2 linked regions of the Nothobranchius furzeri genome follow. The protein of the gene in region 2 purifies or fractionates together with the protein of the main gene of each other region. This does not show direct contact. Links are inferred from orthologs where the notes say so. Each region holds a gene or a part of one and is shown on either strand. Other genes may lie near its edges.

What was found.
Region 1: the proteins of per1b (region 2) and csnk1da purify together in Homo sapiens (affinity purification with mass spectrometry; 4 studies listed by BioGRID and IntAct, counting the BioPlex papers as one, with this or other methods). This does not show direct contact. The link is inferred for Nothobranchius furzeri from reciprocal best matches to the Homo sapiens genes PER1 and CSNK1D.

What each region holds. Positions count from the first base shown.
Region 1 is NC_091758.1:11,453,638-11,458,035, reverse strand, and holds the start of csnk1da (casein kinase I), read right to left. Parts: upstream 2,825-4,398; 5' UTR 2,594-2,824; coding exon 2,518-2,593; intron 1-2,517. UniProt on the Homo sapiens protein: Essential serine/threonine-protein kinase that regulates diverse cellular growth and survival processes including Wnt signaling, DNA repair and circadian rhythms. It can phosphorylate a large number of proteins.
Region 2 is NC_091742.1:55,050,665-55,054,922, forward strand, and holds the start of per1b (period circadian protein homolog 1b), read right to left. Parts: upstream 2,968-4,258; 5' UTR 2,808-2,967; coding exon 2,461-2,807; intron 2,224-2,460; coding exon 1,970-2,223; intron 1,884-1,969; coding exon 1,762-1,883; intron 1,681-1,761; coding exon 1,479-1,680; intron 1,404-1,478; coding exon 1,209-1,403; intron 1-1,208. UniProt on the Homo sapiens protein: Transcriptional repressor which forms a core component of the circadian clock.

The sequences.
Region 1 (4,398 bases), on a different chromosome or scaffold from region 2:
TTATGATCTGGTTTCTTTCTTTTTCTTCTTTGTCCCGATTGTGCCCTGAGCAATTTTATGAACAAATAACAAATAAAATCAATCAACATTAAATAATCGAGACCTCAAGTTCAGTCACAATAATCGTGATTATCATTTTTGCCATAATTGAACAGCCCTACTCTTTAGTGTTTAATGTTTTTGACGTCTTGTCTATGCAGAGCTTCTGTAGTTCAGTTGCGTCCATAGCTGCTAGCCAAACCTCAGTGGAGTTAAAGTCTCTTGTGTTTTCTGGATTTATTAAAATATCTGTCTGTACTTTTTTGATTGATGGCAGTTTTTGCTTTTTATTAGACTCCAAAAGTAATCATTTAGCATGTTCCTAAATTATAATTTGTAAGAATGTAATCAGTGATATTATCAATAGCATCCCGTAGGGTTTTTCAATGTATATTAGCAATGTGCTAACCACTCTCTGCCAGTCAAATCGCAGCCTTTGCGATTAGAAAATCTTTTTTGTCACATCACAATTTAATTGCATATAATTTCCCTACTTCAAACTAGAAGCTAATGATGGGTATATTAGAGCATCCTGGACTAATCATCAACAAAACTGATGATTAGTCGACTATTTAGTCATTTGTGGCAGCCCTACAGAAGACGACGTGAAAACATTACCACTGCTGCTGCATTGAAATTCACTAGTCTCTGGAGCTGGTCAAAACAAAGACATTCACTTTAAGTGTTCGCATATTTTGTACGTAAATGCTATTGCATGTTTGTAGTGTATTCTCCATTGATTAAATAAACATTCTGCAAGTAATTCAAGTTTCCCTGTTGTTGTCCTTTCTCTTAAAGGATACCCAAACTTTTGAGCGTTTGTGCCACTTAGAGGCCATTCTTCCTTCCCAGTAAAGCCTGACTCCGGTTTCACACTGCAAGTATCAGCGGAACGGAACAGCAGCGGAGCGGCTCACTCGCGAACTTTAAAGCGGTCCTTTTCACACCGGGAGAGTCTTGGTCGCGGCACGGCTTCCTCGCTGTGCCTCGTTGTACCCGCGAGATTCTAAAATCCCTCAAGACTTCCGACACCTTCCTCATCGAGAGATCACAACCCCTGCGAAGAATCGCACCGTTGCACTCCTCGAAAGAAACTGGTGGTAAACAAAGCTGTTCGGTCACACTTACTGACGTAAGTTATATATAACATTGTAACGTTGCATTTTATTTTGAAAATAACCGGGTATTTTACACTGAAACCGTGTGGTTTCCTGTCTCGCACTATGTGAACTGCGGGAATTGACGTGTCCCAGAAGTGGCTCCCGGAACAAATAGAACTCGATGTTGTCCTGGCAGAGAATTGCTTTGCAACACCCCTTGGGCAAACGGGGAAGTATGACAGTAAAACGCTTCTATCAATCCGTGCATGTCTGTCCCTTGTGGAGCTGACGCAGAAGCATGACTCAGGCTTAAACGCGTAGCTCGTTTAAGCTACACAACATGAGTGGTGATGTAATTTGCGCCAAATGGAATTGATAATGGAATCGTATGCAAAAATGGCAAATGATTCCAAGGAACTGCAACTGTGGGAACCAGTTCTCAACAAGAACCGGTTTTCAATTCCCAACCCTAGTATTTACCATCTTGTACTTGGACGTAGAAATGTATATATATCTCTGACCATGTGTATGAGCAGTATCAAGTAGTAAAACGGTCACTTTTAAAGGTATTGGTCATCGACACACGTTCATCCACAAATTGCTTTCACCTAATAAGTAATTATATCTGTGGAGTAAAAGCTTCATCACATAACTGGTGTTAAAACCTATAAAAGACACCTTGCTTCCATCAGTGTCCCCATGACAGCTGTGGCTGCTATGTAGCTCATCATCAACAGTGTGAAAGGGTGTGTCATGCCTTGGGGATTGTAGAAAGCGCTATATATAAATAAAGGACATTTATTCTTTGGAACTATTATGAATATAACTCAAGAATAAACGTAAGTATGCTTTGATTCAATGTAGGCATTTTATTTTTCTGGTTATGCTTTAGTTGTAGTGAACTATGAATGGATCACCTTCATCTTTGCTTTAAAGCAGCCAACCTGCATTAATTGTCTACAGTCTGTATTTCTCTGTATGAGCTGCCTTAACGAGTGGATTTTCCCACTGTGGGATCAATAAAGTATATCCTAATGTATTCTACTCCCTTATACTTCACCGTCAGTAAATGGGTAAATATAACAAACTCTCACCCAGTAAAAATGCAAGTGTTTCTGAAACCACGGTCTGGTCGGTCATTTTGCTCACAGACTAACGTCGTTTACAAGGAAAAAAGAAACAGGAACTTAAACATAGCCTTTAGCTTCACAGCTAGCGTCAGTTTCGTTGTTTTACACAGTATTCATTATTACGACGCTCACAAAAGACAACTGCTACCAAAGTCGAGCACAATTAAACTCGATTAAACTTTACAATAGCCGGCCTTTATCCTCTTTTAATGCCGAAGTGAACAGAAAGAAACGTGAAAATTACATACCCAAGTAGATGTCTCCAAATGATCCACTTCCAATTTTTCTGCCCAGCCTGTATCGGTTTCCGACTCTCAACTCCATGTTGACAAAATCTGACAGGCTAGCAACTACACTCGTTAGCTCCAATATTTGTAACAAAACTAATTTGTTCAAACGCAACACAATATTAAAAAAATATGAATCCAAAATCCTGTTTTAGCGATATATTTCGTCTTCTCAGGATTTGTGGGCTTCTTTTTCGCCTCCTTTTTCACAATATTATTAACATTATCTATAAACAATACGATGCTTGTCGGAAAGGTCAGCGCTTGTTCTTTCTGCTCCTGCTATTGTTAAAAACCAGTACGCGTTTATTTTACACGGATGAAGCTGGATTTCGAAGCTAGGTACCAGCTCCGGTACTCTGGCTTACAGATACTAGCTTAGAGCTTGCTAGGCAATTTATCGGAGGAGTTTGACGTCACTTCCTGGCAAGATGAGCGGAGAGGAATCCACCAGAGAGCATGTTAGTGAAGATACACCTATTAGTAACGTTTTGTTCCTTTGTTTGTACGGTTTGTGCAGATTAAATGTAGCAATATGAAAAGCGTAAAATAACGATAAAGCTTTTTGTATTGCAAATACAACACTCAAACATTTTTAATAGCTACTAGAACATTACCTCTGTTCTTGTTTACTGATAGAGACCAATCTTCACTAAATCATTGTGTCTGGTCAGTCACAACAAAAGATTGTTTCCTTTGTCCTCTTGGCCTCTGCCCATCATGCACTGTCCATCTCGCATGAACTTGTAAAAACTCAAATAAAATTAGGCAAGACCTAGATAGTTGTGAAATAACACCAGAAAATCTTGCCTGAATTAATGTTGAACGTTGTTGAATGTAAAAAGTTAAAACCGTAAAAAATGTCCAAGAAATTCTGCAATGGAAAAACGGCTCAGGTCAGCTTAGTTTAAGTTGTTTTTCCAAGTTAAGCTGAGATACGGCTACATGGGTGCACACCAGTCGTGTGCACATGCCCCATGCAATCTCACCCAACATAAAGTAGCGAAAAATGATCTGTAAACAGCGTAAGGGGGTCTGTATGCCACACATGGATGCTTGCTTTCCTCTTAGGTTGCTTATGAAATTATATTATGACATAGTATCTTATTTACACTATTTTATTTTCTCCTAACTTAAAAGTTATTATGCAGAGCTGTTTATAAAGTGTAGTGCTTAATTTAGATTAAGCTATAGAATGTCTATTATAGACTTTGACATTATCAGAACCATACTTTTGGTGTCAAATATAGCACTAGTCTACGTGTAGCACTGATTTTAGATGCACCCTTACAAGGGTGTCTTGTAAAATAAACTCCTTCACCCACAGCTACTGTTGTTATGAGAAGCTGCTAGATTGAACCTTGAAGTTAGAAAAACAAATTCCCAGACTTTCAGAGGGTCATCTGACTTCTGGGAGCGTTCCAGCTAATTGTTCCTACTCTGAAGTTAGAATATTCGAGTCCCCCAATGGAACACACCAATTGACTCCCTGTTGGTTTTAATATAATATAATATAATATAATATAATATAATATAATATAATATAATATAATATAATATAATTTTAAATATATTACAAGGACAATGTCCTTCCTTGGTCAAAGAAAATGGTTAAATGGAACAGATTTGCATCATGTGACGTGGGAGATAAATTTTATATGTATAAGTTTCAATTTTAAAGCCTTTTACATTTTAAATTGTGTATATTTGTTAAATGAAATATGTAAGCGAGTTACTACTTGCTAGCCACCAAAGCTGCATTTACTAAGCAACTAACCAACCATAGCTAACATCTTTGGATCTAAAAAACATTTCAGATATTTGCCCAATAGCTACAATTAG
Region 2 (4,258 bases):
TAACAAAGCTTAGGCTTATAACGATCGATGTCAGTCATCAAAAATCCTTTTCTCCAGGATTTATTTTCCAGATTTGGTCGTTTGTGTTGAATTTCAGCATCGATAACAAAAGTATCCATTTGTTTCCAGAACTTGGTTTGGATGTTTTGAAGACCGATATCATGAGAAGGATCGCTGAACGACCTCAGTTTGGAGAAATAGGTCAATTCTGATAGGAGAGATAAGCTAACGGCTAGGTACAGTTGGGCTAAAAACAAAAGTGGGCACCGTTGTCACGAAACGTGTCAAGAAATTGAAAATAAATTCATGTAAATGCTCATTTATAAACTAGCTATGGCTGCAGACTTCACCTGATCAGATTGGTGATTAATTTTATTTTTTAGCAGAAGTTGACGCAGCTAGCTTTAACATGTCCGACAGGAACATCATATTTCTGCTACAACATACATGATGAAAGGTCATTTAACTATGCCAACTGATTAAAAGTTCCCTATGTAAGGAAGCCAGCAGGTTGCATCGAGTCACTGACTAGTGTCAGCATCTTTACAGCAATCCTCATACTAAGCAAGCATGCAGTGACAGTGGAGAGGAAAACTCCCTTTTAACAGGAAGAAACCTCCAGAGGTTTCAGGATAAGCAGCCACAATCATAAGATTAGCTTTGGTCAGTTAGCTTGTCAATCTGACATTAGTCTCCATTTCTCCAAACTGAGGTTGTTCTGGGAGTTATCTGCAAGTTAGTTGTTTATAAACGTTCTACAGAGCTAAACATCAACACTAACTTATTTAGAAATGTCAAGATTCATCTTTTGAGGGCCGATACTGATTTCTGATTCCTGTACCGAAGACCTGCCGCTACAGATTTGTTTTAAAAGATCCACAAAAAGCAGAAAAGCCATTTTAAAAATCGGATTATGTTCGTGGAAGTCAAAGACTTCTAGCGTAAATCAGCAGCGGTGAGATGAAGGGTCGGGAAAACGTCTGATTATTTCAGCTCGACCGCGCTGCGTTCACAACTTAAGAGACAATCTGATTTTTAAAGTTCAGATTATCAATACGGACTCACTTCCTCATCCGGTTTCTTGGTGCATCTCTGATATACGAACCTCCTATGACCAGATGTTAATGGTTAAGTCTAGAGCGATGACACGCTCTCATCGCTTTAGGAGCTCTGTCAGAGGTGTAACCGTCTGAGCTGTAGCTGCACACCTTCGTATCCAGAGTGGACCCTCTCAGCGATGAGCAGGCAGCAGGGCTGTGGCTCGGCGGCGTCCGAGTCCCTCAGGGTGAGCCGGTAGGGCGTCAGCCGAAAGGGGAAGTACCTCATCTCGCCCCCCTGGGCCCGGTCGGCACGGATCCGACAGAACATGGACTTCTCCTGAGTGCAGTCTACAGGAGGAGAAGCTGGAGGGAGCACAGAATCTGTTAGGTTTCTTGTTGCAGCTCCCAGTGAATTAACTCTGGTTTCAGGCAGCTGACCTGAGCCGATGCAGGAGGCCCAGGACGGCAGGCGGCACGGCGCTGTGCCGCTGTAGAAGGTGCTGACGTCCTGCGGGGCCAGGAGCTCTGAAAACACGGCTCCCTGGAGACACTCGGGCTTGCAGCGCAGCAGGGACGAGCCCTGGGGGGACACGTACACCACTTTCCCCGACAGGAACGACACGGCCATGGAGAACGTGTCCTGGGAACGACCAGACCCGGGTCAGTCCACCACACCACAGCTTCATTCTAACCCTGAAGTCAGAAGGGTGTTGAATCTCACCGTGTTTTTGAGAGTGTACTCTGAAGTAATGTTGTCCAGCTCCTCGATGGTGAAGGCGGACAAGTCCAGGCTGCAGCCGTGGCACTCCTCCACGCTCCACTGGTGATAGTACTCCCTGTTGGCTGGGGAGGCAGAACGAGTCCAAGTCAAAACGCTCAAACCAGCCCCATCCACTTTCTTTCCCTAAAAAATAAGCCCCGCCTCTCACCTCGGACCTGTCGGACACACTGGAGAGCGTATTTGAGAGCGCTCAGCGTGCTGGAGTGACCCTTGGCTTTGCGCTCAGCTGGCAGGCGGACCTTCAGCTCCTTGATGGCCTTCATGAGCTCCTTCTGCGTCTGGAGCCTGGCCGACTGGTCGCTGCTGCAGCCGGAGGTGGAGCGGGGCTCGTGCTCCGAGCTGTTGGACAGCAGGCTGTAGGCCAGAGAGCCGTTGGGGGGGGACAGACTCTGGAAGTTGGGGCTGGAGAAAGAAGAAAAACTTTTAATAAAATAGAAGATCAAAGTCAGGATCAGGGGGATCGGTTTTCTTGGAAGTAAAATGCAAAAGACATGAATCTTTTGTCTGTGGTTTGTCGATTCAGACGCTGAGGGCAGAACTTCCTGGAATCATCTGAGCAGCATTTTCGGTTTCTGACGCGACAGATAAACGGATCTCAGCTAGACGGTGTGGCGTTTACCCCACCCCCGCCCCTCCTACCTCTTGCTGTTGTCTGTGGTCTCCAGCATCACCCCCGAGTCCTTCCCGTTAGAGGAGCTGTGGCTGCGGGAGCTGCTGTTCTCCCTCGCCATCTGGCCCTCGCTGTCCCTCTCTCCAGAGTCGTTCCCGCTGGACAGTCCATCCGTGTCGTCCGAGTTCAGCCCCCTTTGGTCTCCGGACGGGCTGCCTGATCCGGACCCCTCCCCTGGGGACGATCCCCCTGCAGCTGCAGCTGTGACATCACACTGGTCACAGCTGGACTTCTGCTCATTTAACTGCTGCGACTCAGCTTCCTGGTCCACCTGTGTGCTGCTGCTGGGCGTTGATGTGGAGCTGTCATAACTCATACTAATCTAGAATGAGGCCACGCAGCTCAACTGGGGCAACTGGGGGAGTTAAGTGGGACTACTGTTTAAGCACAAGTGCAACATAGCTGTTAATTGCTTATAAAGAAAAAAAGAAATGTTTTGTTTTTTTTGCGGGGAAAAACAAAAAAAGGTTTTGAAAAATGCCACTCGGGTCTGGTCTTGAGAGGACTTGTTGCTCACAAGTCACGCAGAGAGCAGATGAATGTGCTGTTATGCAACAGCCTTTGGCACAAGCGCTGGGACAGATGGGAGGAGAGAGACGGAGAGGCAGTGTGAAGAACCAGATGCTGGTTTGCAACACGAAACAGGGAAGGAAACCACCGGTCTTCTCTTCAGAGACGCGCTGCTCTGGGAGCTAAAAGGACACCTGGGAATGAAAAAGCAGAACGAAAAAGCAGCATTAGAGGTTTTGCAGCACTTCTGAAAAAGATCTAAAAAGATAAAATTGCATTTCTTCCACAAATGTCGTTTGAATCAAGGAGCTGAAGCCAACCCCAACGTGGAAGTACCAAAAACTGCAGTTCCCACCTGATCCACTAGAGGCCAGATCCAGAAGGGAGCACGTTCCCATCGACTCCCATGTTAAAAATGCTAACTTCATAGCAGAAATCAACATTTACAAAAACATTTTAGGGTTGATAGGTCTGGCGTACAGTCATGACACCTCTGACAGGTGAGTTTCTTTGGTTTAGTAATCTGTTTAGATGTAACTGGTGAATGGCCCGTATCTGATTTAGTGCCTTTTAGAGGTCTAGAACCCCCCAAGGCACTTTACAACACAATCAGTCACCCATTCGCACACACATTCAAACCCTGGTGTTGATGAGGTACGATGTAGCCACAGCTGTCCCGGGGCGCACTGACAGAGGTGAGGCTGCCGAGCACAGGCGCCACCGGTCCCTCCGACCACAATGAAAGCTTGAAATTATGAATATGTGGGGGCGTGCCCTTTTAATTTACAGGTATCAGATGAGTCAACAGTGCTAGCGCTAGCAGCTCATCCCCCTGCTTGCTCCGGGGAAGGCCTGATCAGTCTCGTGTTAAAAGTGTTATAGCCTAGAAGGCAAAGGGTGGCAGAGTTACTCAACCACAATTTTATTGCCAAAAGCGTCCACCAACCTCTGTTAGCTTTGTTTAGCTCATAGCTACATCAACTCAGCCCTGCTCTCAGCTCCATTTTGGTATTTTCCAGGAGTGATGAGACACGGCGCAGAGGGTTTGTCTAATTATATCAACAGTCAGTGGCTTGAATGCCAATTAGGCCCTGGCCACTTGCTCACTATATCTACCGTGCCTCTAAATTTAGGCTCCACCCACTTGCTTACATGCCTGCCTGTGCTCCAGCTAGGGATGTCCCGTTCCGATATCGGAAGTAATTCGATATCTACCCCAAAACTGTATCGGATAGCATCAAAAATATCCGATATAAG